3 linked regions of the Danio rerio genome follow. The protein of the gene in region 2 purifies or fractionates together with the protein of the main gene of each other region. This does not show direct contact. Links are inferred from orthologs where the notes say so. Each region holds a gene or a part of one and is shown on either strand. Other genes may lie near its edges.

What was found.
Region 1: the proteins of keap1b (region 2) and map1lc3a purify together in Homo sapiens (affinity purification with mass spectrometry; 3 studies listed by BioGRID and IntAct, with this or other methods). This does not show direct contact. The link is inferred for Danio rerio from reciprocal best matches to the Homo sapiens genes KEAP1 and MAP1LC3A.
Region 3: the proteins of keap1b (region 2) and ikbkb purify together in Homo sapiens (affinity purification with western blotting; 7 studies listed by BioGRID and IntAct, with this or other methods). This does not show direct contact. The link is inferred for Danio rerio from reciprocal best matches to the Homo sapiens genes KEAP1 and IKBKB.

Annotation. Positions count from the first base shown.
Region 1 is NC_133186.1:28,686,141-28,690,355, reverse strand, and holds the start of map1lc3a (microtubule-associated proteins 1A/1B light chain 3A), read right to left. Parts: upstream 2,802-4,215; 5' UTR 2,721-2,801; coding exon 2,681-2,720; intron 1,033-2,680; coding exon 977-1,032; intron 1-976. Other genes in the region: dynlrb1 (dynein light chain roadblock-type 1), read right to left, coding at 3,603-3,646. UniProt on the Homo sapiens protein: Ubiquitin-like modifier involved in formation of autophagosomal vacuoles (autophagosomes). While LC3s are involved in elongation of the phagophore membrane, the GABARAP/GATE-16 subfamily is essential for a later stage in autophagosome maturation.
Region 2 is NC_133181.1:199,202-203,195, forward strand, and holds the end of keap1b (kelch-like ECH-associated protein 1B), read right to left. Parts: intron 3,306-3,994; coding exon 2,629-3,305; intron 2,235-2,628; coding exon 2,029-2,234; intron 1,884-2,028; coding exon 1,707-1,883; intron 1,548-1,706; coding exon 1,387-1,547; 3' UTR 506-1,386; downstream 1-505. UniProt on the Homo sapiens protein: Substrate-specific adapter of a BCR (BTB-CUL3-RBX1) E3 ubiquitin ligase complex that regulates the response to oxidative stress by targeting NFE2L2/NRF2 for ubiquitination.
Region 3 is NC_133183.1:3,547,121-3,551,339, forward strand, and holds the start of ikbkb (inhibitor of nuclear factor kappa-B kinase subunit beta), read left to right. Parts: upstream 1-1,418; 5' UTR 1,419-1,590; intron 1,591-4,219.

The sequences.
Region 1 (4,215 bases), on a different chromosome or scaffold from region 2:
ATGCTAAATGATTATAGATCAATATTTTCTAATCATTTAGCATATAATGTCAAAATGTTAAAGTAGAACATTAAAGTAGAAAGTTACTATGCTTTTTATGTACAGTGCTCAGCATATACGAGTACACCCCCCACAAATGTCTGATTTCAATTAATATTTTCTATAGGATACTGTACAATATTTTATTTGTGCATATACATTAGTTTATTCAGTACTGAAGCCATAGGAGCCTTAGGAACTTTTACAAAAAATATATACAATTTTGTTGAAATGTTGTAGTTTGTAATTTTTTTTTGCAATATTTTGCATTAATTTAAATATATTATCTTTTCATTTCTAAATATGTTCTGTGACTGAAATATTATTTTTAATAAAAATATCTGTTTAATTATCGGTTTTGATCAAATGCACCAATATATATTATCCATATGCACCGAGAAATGGGGAAAAAAATTTCGCCTCCAAAAATTTTCAAACTGGGGAGAGAACTGTATATAAAAATCACTTATACTGAATTTGATGCAGATGACAGAATGGAATGTCTTGTCTTTGAAATATATTTCCTAATATATTTCACTAAAGATAAAGATTACAATAAAAAATTAAGATTATTTCCTAATATATTTTGATATATTCATATAATGGTTTAGAGCTGTGGATACATAGAACAATGTATTTTAATATTACTTATTTTTATATTTCCAAGGTCTAGAAATCACACTTTAAAATGATTGATGCTTTGTTAAATAAATGCAGTATTTCTAACTGCTTTAGCTTCATCTTTTCTTTTTCAATAATTCTAAGTCACCCCAAGGCCCTCATAGAAGTTGAAGCCCATTGTTTTAGAGTAATAAATTTCAGGATCTTAAAAGAAATCCGGAGCTGACAGGTAAGTGACATCTTGAAAGCAATAAGGCTAAAGCAATAAGTCTAAATTCATTTATGACACTTGCATAAAACAAAACTAGTTTCTCACCGGAATTTTATTAGGATGCTGCTCTCGTATCTGCTGCACTTCCTTGCAACGATCAGCTGAAAAGACAAAAAACAAACAGAAATTTGGTACACTTCTGAATAATATACATTTTACAGTCCAAATTCAAAATACACAGTAAGTATATTTTCAAGACTCATTCCTGAAAACACTGTAATCACTGCATTAGCATTTGCTGAATTTGCTTATGTCAAACCTGTTTAGCAGAAACGCTCAATAAACATTCCTAAAAACTTGAGGAAAAATAATTGCGGATGTGTTGTTTGACATGCCCTACTCTACAAACCTATTCCACCATAATGTACAGTATAACAGACAAACAAACATTAATTTCTGTTAAAAGGTTTAATATCTTTTGTTATCACTCTGAAAGCTCAACAATGGTTAATCAACGCATTTGCATTATTTAAATAAACTACACGTTTTAATCTTGTAATTAAAATTTACAAGATTTGCATTTTTAGAGACATTGTCTGTTTTTATTCCTTTTCTATCATTTATTTCTCATCTGCTGATTATTTTATTAATTTATGTTAATATATTACATAGGCTATTTTCTATACATTTCTAAAATGCTTTGGCATTCGAGTTTGCTTTGAACTTGGAGTGAAAGAAGCAGATTTTACCTGTCAGAGGGTGCAAATGGCTCCTGAATAGTATAAAAGTAAGAGAAATAGTGGATTTTTTTCAACAGTCTTTTTACTTTAAGCCATTGAAAAGAAACTGTATAACAATGTCATAATAAATAAAATTGTAAAAATTAACTTATGTTTTGTTTGTCGAAAATCAATATCTATTTAAGTGATGATGTGGGTAACTTGTGTTTCATTCTGGCTACCACTGCAAGTATATTTCAAAGTAAAACTAAAAAAAATCCAGCTTGCTTATCAGGGTAAGCTTCCTAACTTGTGTGTCATTTTTACTGATGTCATGTCTGGGTCATCCGTGTCAATTGTATAATCCCAAAGGCTGGACAAATATAAGACTGTATGCAGATCATATTGACCCGGACTCTTACAGATGTGTTTGAAACAGCAAATCTATGTTGCACTTGTTATGTTTAGGAAGATTATGCAAGGGTTTTATGCTCCTCCCTCCCCACACCCTGTCCACAGTCTGGACTATGAGAAAGAGCTCATATTACAGCATCATATCAACAGCACGTGTACAGTCCATCCTTTCCTTCAATGTTATTGTCAAACAATAAATATTCTAAATATATAAATGCATCATTTACACCAAATGTAACAGAAAAACACTACTGTCAAAAAAAAGAAATGTTGATCTCACATTTTCACAAAGCTGGTAAACAACACATTTATCTAGCTACATATCTGTAACTATATGTCATTCATCTATGTTTCTAAGTAAAAAGTTAAATATAAGGTTATATACGTATTTACAAACACAACAGTTGTAAAAAAAATAAAGCTGATAAAATTTAAACACAAGGCCTATAAAAAAGCCCAAGCTAGCTTACTGTTTAGCAACTGACCTCTGTCGGTTTTTGTTAAAAACTGTCATTTAGACTTTAATATTTATTTCTATAATCGTCTCATAAGCATTTAGAGCTTTGTAGAGGAATGTAAACAGTGTGTCACGCAGTTGCTAGCAGGCTAGGGACAAAAACAAACCTGATAAACAAATACACTTCGGCTGACAAGGCACGAATAAAACTCATCTTACCGAAGCTCCGTCGTTGTTTGAAGGGTCTGTCGGATGGCATAACTGTGCTTGAATGTGGTTAAAAGTAGTTTAAAGGGTTTGCGTGTTATTATATGCTGAATTGTCGGTCGACTCGGCTTCTTTTCGAGCTCCTGACTCACTGTAAGCAAAACAGCTCGAGACAATATACTAAAGCTCGTGACGTCATCAGATTTAAAGAGACAGAGTCCTCTTTAAATGAATAGTTTAACCAAAACTAAACATTTACTCAGCATTTGCTTAACCTCAACTGGTTTTAGACTATTATGGGTTAATATTTCCTATTAAATGAAATAGAAGATATTTTGAAGAATGTTGGAATCCGGTAACCATTGATATCCATTGTAGTGGGGAAAAATGCAAAATTAAGTCAAGAGTTTTCAACATTTCTAAAAAATATTTTCTTCTTTTGCGATCAATTTAAATTCAAACAGGTTTTTGCAGCCATTTACAAGAATTATTTTAAACATGAAATCATTTTCAATTCTCTATATAAACCTAAACTAAATTTATATTATGGCAAAAAACAAAGCACCTTTTCCATTCAATATGAATACACACAGCCACAAAAAGTAATAAAAGGAAATACATTGTTGTTTTATTGTCCTGTTAGCATTCACAAACAAGTACAGTATGTAATAGTGTCATGTTTTTGCTTTTTGATGATGAACAGTTTGGAGTACTTGCAAAAATGAGAATGAGAAAACAATAAATTAAGTATATGGCAAACTATTGGAATGATAAGCAAGAGCAGTACAAACCATATTTTTATAATAGGATAAGAAGCAACTTCCTGTAATGTTATGTGGTTAATAGTACTATATAAACCTCACTGAAACATTAAATGAAACACTTTTGGCCTGTAATTACAGAAAAAAAAATACTTCAGAAGTACTTAGAAGGACTACTCTGTGGGATTTTGAATGACGATCAGGAAATAGTCCTTGTCTGTGGAGAAAACAGAGTAAATATATGATTAATTTCTGATCATTACAATTAGTTGATATCAGATTTATATAGCACATTACAGAATAATACAACACGCAAATTGGTTTTTGTAAAGATAGACTTGAATGTACAACATTATGGCATTTATAACAAAACATCAACCCCTACCCTAACTCTAAACCTGTAAACAGTAATGTAAAAATATTAATTATTGTTATACAGTGTCATTAAAATTGCTGCTATATTGATGTGCATATCGCACTTCTAGCCAGCAGTGTATCCTATTTCTATCTAGACTTTACCCTAAATCAGGGCTTTTCAAAATAAGGTCCGGGGGACCCATTCAGTGAAATGTTCAGAGAAAAGGCTTAAATAAAACATATATATCAATAAATAAAAGTAATTAATACTTTTGTATTAAAATAAGCCTAACATTGTATTAAGAATAAGGCTAATACATACAATTTAATAATAACTTGTTAAATTTGCAAAAATAAATAAATAGCAGCTGGATAATTATTTTAAAATAAAGTATTCATATAAGTAAGTGTTAAATAAACAAACACATA
Region 2 (3,994 bases):
TTTCACTCACACACACACACTCTCTCTCAAACATTCTCTCACACACACCCTCGCGCACTCATATCAGGTTTCTGTGAATTGTGGGGACTCTTCATAGACTTCTGTTGTTTTTATTCTGACCCAGCAGCATTCTCTCCCTCACTCCACCCTACAGAAGACCTGCTCAAGCTCTTAAACCATGTAGATGAAAGTGTGTGTCCCTGGAGCACAACATCTTGTCCAACACACTCTTATGGGTGTGTATATTTGGCACTATGCAGCAATACACACTCTCCACCGCGCAGGTACCTGCTGCTGACCGTTCTGCAGGTCTGGAGTCTGCAGATACTCACATTGACACATTTAGCTGACATTAAAGCCCTTTAGTGGGATTAATACATGTATTTTCTCCTGAACTGTGTGTCAAAGCTGGAGGCAGGGAGTCTGCTGGATACACACTGTGTGCATACATTCTGTGTTTTGGCGCCACCACTCGGTCAAACCACACATACACACACACACACTCTCCAACAACCAACACACACCTTTAATATACAATGTTTGTTGCTGTAAAATATACAAAGCAGACTGTAAATCATCTGTGATGCTTAATTGTGGAGGATTAAATGAAATCTGCATCCCTCATCAAACAGAAGCAGAGTAAAAACGAGCCGCAGGCGGAGGAGCGGCACGGCGGCGTCTCAATAAATTACAGAGAATCAGACTTCATGCAGTACCCATGTACAAAACCCCTGGAAAAACAGCTTCAACTGGGCTTACAAATACAATATTGGATCATCAACTTTGATTGCAGCAGAACCAGCGCCGGGCTCCACGGCTAACACAGACTGAGAGAGAGAGACTGAGAGAGAGAGGGAGAGAGAGAGAGAGAGACTGAGAGAGAGAGAGAGAGAGAGAGAGAGAGAGAGAGATCTGTGCGGCTCGTATGAATCTGAGGAACTGAGCGGCGTCTCATCTCGTACCGTCCCAGAGCTAAAGAGGAATACAAAACACCTCAATATACTGACAGCGGCGCACGTGTGTGTGTGTGTGTGTGTGTGTGTGTGTGTGTGTTGATGTGCTTTAGGAGGACACTGAACTGTATAATGACAGTGTAATTACAGTAGGGGTACTGTAATGAGGTGTGTGTGTGGGGGGACACACTGCTTACAGTACAGAGGACGTCCTGCCTGTGGAAAGTCCTCAAAAACCACATATACAAGTGTGTGTGTGTGTGTGTGTTTGGCCAGCCGTCACTCCTGTAGCACACACTCAGACATACTGTCGTGCTGATGGTGGCACTGTTCTGGGATCAGGATAAAGTGGATCCACAGGAGTGTGTGTGGAGATGACAGACATTCTGCTCATCTGTGTGTGTGTGTGTTAACACACACACACGCGCCGCCGCTAGCACTGACAGGGGATCAGCTCTTTGTGACAGGGCTCCATGGTGACGGCGACTCCGACTCCGCTGCGGCCCGACTTCATGTGTGTGACCTCTGTCCATGAGTCCGTCTCTGGGTCAAAACACTCCACACTGTCCAGGAACGTGTTCCCATCATAGCCACCTGCGCGCACACACACACACACACACACACACACACACCATTATAGGCTTCTTACACAGCACTTTCAGTAAATATCTACAGCCGGAGTTTTCTCCTCATGAGGGCAGAGATAGAGAGAGTGTGTGTGTGTGTGTGTGTGTGTGTGTGTGTGTGTCGTACCCAGCACATAGATGCGTCCGTGGTGTGTGGTGACCCCCAGAGCGCTGCGCCGGTGCCGCATGGATGCGCTGAAGCTCCAGCTGTCCTTCTCCACATCGTAGCGCTCCACCGTGTTCAGCTGGTTGGTGCCGTCATATCCACCCATCACATAGATGTAGTTCCCCAGCGCACACACACCTGAACACACACACACACACACCAGGACTCTCGTTACACACATGGGCTCTGGGTGACCTTTAACCGTCAGGACTGAGCGGGTCAGGCAGAGCTGTGGGTCCACAAACTGTGTGTGTGTGTGTGTGTGTGTGTGTGTGTGTGTCACCTGCGCCGCTGCGGACTGTGTTCATGGCCGCTATGCTCCTCCACTCGTCCCGCTCGGGGTTGTAGCATTCCGCGGAGCTCAGCCGGTGCGTCCCATCGAAGCCGCCCACCGCATACAGCAGCCGGTTGATCACGGCCACGCCCACTCCGATCCGCCGCGTCAGCATTGGCGACACCAGCTGCCAGCTGTCCCGCTCCGGGTCATACCTCACACACACACACACACACACACAGAGAGTGAACACACACACACACACCCCTACAGACCTGCACTGGCCGATTACTGTCAGGAAGAATCTGACTAGCCCATACACACCTGTCCAACACACACACACACACACACACACACACACACACACACACACACTGAAAGGACTTTGATTTAATTTGATGATTGACAGGGCTCGTAACTAAGCAACAGAGCAGTCCATTAATGAGGAAGTGGAATGTGTACACACACACTGTTCAGTCACACTCCTCTGTCACACACTCATAAGTATGCAGTGTGTCTTCAGTAATAAAGTGCACACTTTTAAGACGATGCGATGCAGAACAGTCTGATATAGTGTGTGTGTGTGTGTGTGTGTGTGCTCCTCCTCACCTCTCCACGCTGTTGTGGTGTGTGCAGCCGTGTGATCCGCCCACGGCGTAGATCATGCCGTCGATGACGCCGACGCCGATGCGGTTGCGCGGGACGCTCATGTGTGCGCAGGGCCGCCAGCAGTTGTTCATGGGGTTGTAGCAGTCCAGCGTGTGTGAGTCCATGTTCCCGTCGGGCCCGTTGTTGCGTCCACCCACGGCGTACAGCAGGCCGCTGATGACGCAGGCCGCCAGCCCGCTGCGGGGCACCTGCAGGTCCGCCAGCCGCAGCCACGCGCCGCTGCAGGGGTTGAAGGCCTCCAGGAAGCTGAGCGACTGCCGGAAGTATCCGCCCACCGTGTAGATCAGCTGCGGCACCTTGGGCGTGCGCAGGGGGATGACCTTGGTGGGCTTGTGCAGCGTCAGGTCCCGGAAGATCTGTGACAGGTAGTCTTTGCTCTGCGCGTCCCACTCGAAGTGCTCCAGCTGCCGCTGCAGGAAGTGCGGCGTGAGCGAGTGGCAGCGGACGGCCTGCAGCAGCGCCTGCACATACGGACGCCGCTCCTCACGGTCGTACTGAACCCACGCCACACACGCGTGGAACACCTCCGACTCGCAGCGCACGTTCAGCTCGTCCCGGCTGATCAGGGTCACCAGCTGACAGTGAGACAGGGTGAAGAACTCCTCCTGCGTCGCCACCTGCAGGACACACACCGCGCGCGCATGTTAGAGTTGGGGTATTGGTGGTGAGGGCATGCTGTTGGGGGGTTTGGGTTAGGGGGATGTACGGTGGTGCAAAACAACAACACAGACTGAAACACTTACGAAGCTCGAGACAAAGGTAGACTCTGGAAAACATTTTCCCACGATAAGACGCAACTACAGAGGAGAAACCATCTCCCCAAGGAGAAACACAAGAACAAGACCCAAAACACTGTTAGCAGTGCCCAAACACACTTACAGGCACACGCAGAGGGAACGCTCCACACACCGGGAAATATCTATAGAGTCACGGTTTGACCTGCTGCGATTAAACATTGTTCTTGTTCTTGTGTTTCTCCTTGGGAAGATGGTTTCTCCTCTGTAGTTGCGTCTTATCGCGGGAAAATGTTTTCCAGAGTCTACATTTGTCTCGAGCTTCGCTTCGTATTTGACATGAAACGCACATTTTACTCATATATGTAGCGTGTATATGCCCATGAGCTGCCCAGGCGGAATCTGCACACGGTTTTGCTTTTTCTGCACAAAATTGTGTTCAAAATCTGCGGATTTATGTGTAATTATTTTAGGAGTATCATGACTAAAACCCTAATATATGAACTAAAACTAATCCCTTTAAACTTTAATTTCATGTTTACAATGCAAATCCATACAGATCCACTTTATTT
Region 3 (4,219 bases), on a different chromosome or scaffold from region 2:
TACAGAGTTACCGCAACAGATTTATTCAAGTATGTTACGGTTAAAATTATATTTATAATTACTGTAGTATTTTTCTTGTGGGTAATAATAAATGCTGTATAATTCTTTTGAAGTACGTTAAGCCTACAGTACAGTTGTTTATATTAGCTAACTATAGTGGTTGTGTGTTACCATAGCAACTAGAGTTACCACAACAGATTAATTCAAATCAAAAACATAATATTTACTATATAATTACTGTAGTATCTTTTATGTAGGTAATAATAAATGTGGTATAATTCTTCATAAAGTATGCCTACAGTACAGTTGTTTATATTAGCATACTATTGTTGTCGTGTTACTATAGCAACTTCATAGTTACCACAACAAATTAAAGTAGGCTACTTTACGGTTTAAAATTATATTCACTGTGACTGTATAATTACAGAAGTATTCTTCATGTACGTAATAATAAATCCTGTATAATTCTTCAGTATGCTTAACCTACAGTACAGTAGTGTTGTATACAATACAGAAGAAAACTAGTACAGTGGTTTATATTAGCCTACTATAGTTGTTGTGTTACCATAGTAACTACAGAGTTACCGCAACAGATTTATTCAAGTACGTTACGGTTAAAAACATATTTATAATTACTGTTGTATTTTTCATGTGGGTATAATAATTGCCGTATAATTCTTTGTGAAGTATGTTAAGCCTAGTTGTTTATATTAGCCTACTATAATAACTGTAGTATCTTTCACGTAGGTAATGCTGTATATAGCATATAGCATACAGTACAGAAGAAAACTAGTAGTTGTTTACCCTACTATTGTTGTTGTGTGTTACTAGTAAGTATAGTTGCAACAACAGACTTATTCAACTACTGTACAGTTAAAAAACATAAGATTTACTATATAATTACAGTAGTAGCTAATATTCTTCGTGTAGGTAAGGATACATGTCCTATAATTCTTCAGTACAGTACAGTCTTGTATACAGTACAGTAGAAAGCTAGTACAGTTGTTTATATTAGCCTACCATAGTTATTGTGTTATGATATTAACTACAGAGTTACTACAACATATTTATTGAAGTACTTTACGGTTCAAAAACATTATATTTATAACTACTGCGTATCTTTCATGTAGTTAATAATAAATGCTGTATATTTCATGACGTATGTTTACCCAGTACAGTTGTTTACATTAGCCAAATATAGTAGTTGTGTTACCATAGCAACTACCCCAACAGGTTAATTCAAATAAAAAACATAATATTTATTATATAATTACTGTAGTATCTTTAATCTCGGTAATAATAAATGTAAAATTCTTCGTGAAGTATTTTTAGTATGCAGTATGTACAGTACAGTAGGCTATTGAAAATACGGAAGTCTGTTTTTGAGTCTGCGCTTCTACGGTACTTACGGGGGAAAGTTTCAGGAAGTAGAGAAACTCAACGCTCTTCTGCTTTCAAACACAATCACAAACCTCTTTACAGTCTGATTTACCGAACAAATCCGTTAAATGTGTAAAAGTCGCGGGAATAATCAGCTGTGAGACGGAGAAAAGTGTATTTTGGAGGTCAGATCCAGTCTTACAGCAGCAGGTAAAATCACTTCACATTCACGACACGATGAGTTCCAGTAAACACGAAGAGTGTTATCGCACATAAACAATCTTAAACATATGTAACGTTACTTTACTTACTTAGGTAGAGTTATTTTGTAATTCAGCAGCTGTATGAAGCTTTAAGATAATCAGATTGTGTGTACAAATATCAAACACGAGCCGGTTATTAAAAACGAAAGTGATTCATTCATCAAAGTTAAATAATATTTAATAAAATCGCAGCTTTTAAGTTGTCCAAATGAGTATGTAATCTTAATTGTATAATTTGTATATCTAAGTACACTTAAAATAGACCCAAATACATAATATAGCTAATACAATAACATTCTAATTAATTACAGTTACTAAACTATAACAATATAACACAGTTACTAAATAATAATAATTATTAATCTATAAACTCTTATTGTGTGACTCTTATTTTGTCATTTATATCCACATACACCCAGAATAGAAACCAAATGCATAATATATTCAATACAATAACATTTTACTTAATTACATAGGTACTAATAACAATGAATCTATTAACTAAAGAAAACAATCATTATAATTTTTAATAATAACTATTGTATTCAACATTTAACAGCTGTATGAAACTTTAAACTAATAGATTTTTGTTCAAAGAAAAAGTGAATGAATACACTACATTTTTAATCAATTACGTAGTTACTAAATACTAATAATTACAACATAATATTTTGTAAACAAGAATGATCCTATTTTAATAAGTATTGTAATTCAGCAGCTGTATGTAAATTTGTCCCGATTTTGTGTACAAAAAATGCACAGGTCATAAAAAAGCCATTCATTTATCAAAGCTGCATAATACACATATTTATCACTGTTTTAAAAGTGTTTGTTATTTTAAATCAGTCTTTAGTCATCTGAACGACGATGCGGGCTCTTATTTTGTCATTTGTACATCTAAATACTCTTTAAATACACTCATAATAGAACCAGATACATAATAATAAACATTCTATAAATGCTGGGTTGTCTTAACATGTTTGGTCATTTATAGACAGAAGTGGTAATGGATTGATTTTATCAATTCAATTTAAATGAGACCTTTCCATTTTTGTCTATATTTAACCCAGCATTGGGTTGAAACTCATTCAGTGCACCAATACAACAGCGTTCTAATTAATCATGTAGTTACTAAATGCATTTTAATTTAACAAACTAAAGAAAACAATTATAGGTTAAATAATTATATTATATATAATTTATAATTATAGTTTTAATAATAATACTAATTATAAAATCCAGAAAATAAAAGTAAATAATAATAATTATACTAAAAGTAAAAATATTAATAGCAATAATACTTTTATTGTTCTAATAAAACATTGTAGTTCGTTATTTTTCAGACAAGAGCTTCAAGATATATAATTTGTCCTTATACCTTGGGTCAAATATAGACAAATCTAACTGTTGGGTTAAAATATTTAATTTAATTTAATTTAAGAGATTAACCCATTGGTTGGGTTTGTCCATATTTGACCCAGTATCAGGTTAAAACAACCCATTTGTTTTTTGGGGGACCAACGCAATAACATTATAATTATTATAATATAGATAAGTATTGATTATTAACATTATAATGGTTACCGAATATATTTTAATTAAAATAAACTAAAGAAAACAATAATTACAATATTTAAATAATACAATAATTTAAGTTTTGATTATTAACATTATAATGGTTACTGAATATATTTTAATTAAAATAAACTAAAGAAAACAATAATTGCAATATTTAAATAATACAATAATTTAAGTTTTGATTATTAACATTATAATGGTTACTGAATATATTTTAATTAAAATAAACTAAAGAAAACAATAATTGCAATATTTAAATAATACAATAATTCTAAAACAATAATAAAAAATAATATAATACAATAATATTCATTGTACTAATAGTAATAATAATAATAATTTTATTGACCTAATCAAACATTATTTTTTAGACGAGAGCTTCCAGAGATATAATGTCTTCATACATTTTAAAAACGTTGGGTCAAATATGGACAAATTCAACTGTTGGGTTAATTTTTTTTAATTTTTCATTTAGTTGAAAAAAATAACCTAGTGGTTGGGTTTGTCCATTTTGACCCAGCATTGGGTTAAAACAATACATTTGTTTTTTGGTGGGACCAATACAATAACACTCTAATTAATTAATAACATTCTAATTAATTACGCATAGCTACTAAATACATTTTAATTAAAAAAAACTAGACACAACAATAATTGCAATATTTTTAAAATAATGATTCTAAAATCATAAAAAAATATTAATATTAATAAAAAATATATTAATTGTACTAATTGTAATAGGAATAATATTTTTTTGTCCTAATTAAACATTCATTTTTATACAAGAGCTTACAGAGATATCATTTGTCTTCATACATTCTAAAAATCATTGTGTAAAATATGCACAAAACCAACTATTGGGTTAAAAAATGTTTCATAAATTTACCCAGTGGTTGAGTCGATCCATATTTGACCCAGCATTGAGTTAAAAACAACTATTTTTTTTTTGTTTTTGTTTTTTAGAGTTAACCAAAACAATAACATTCTAAATAATTTAT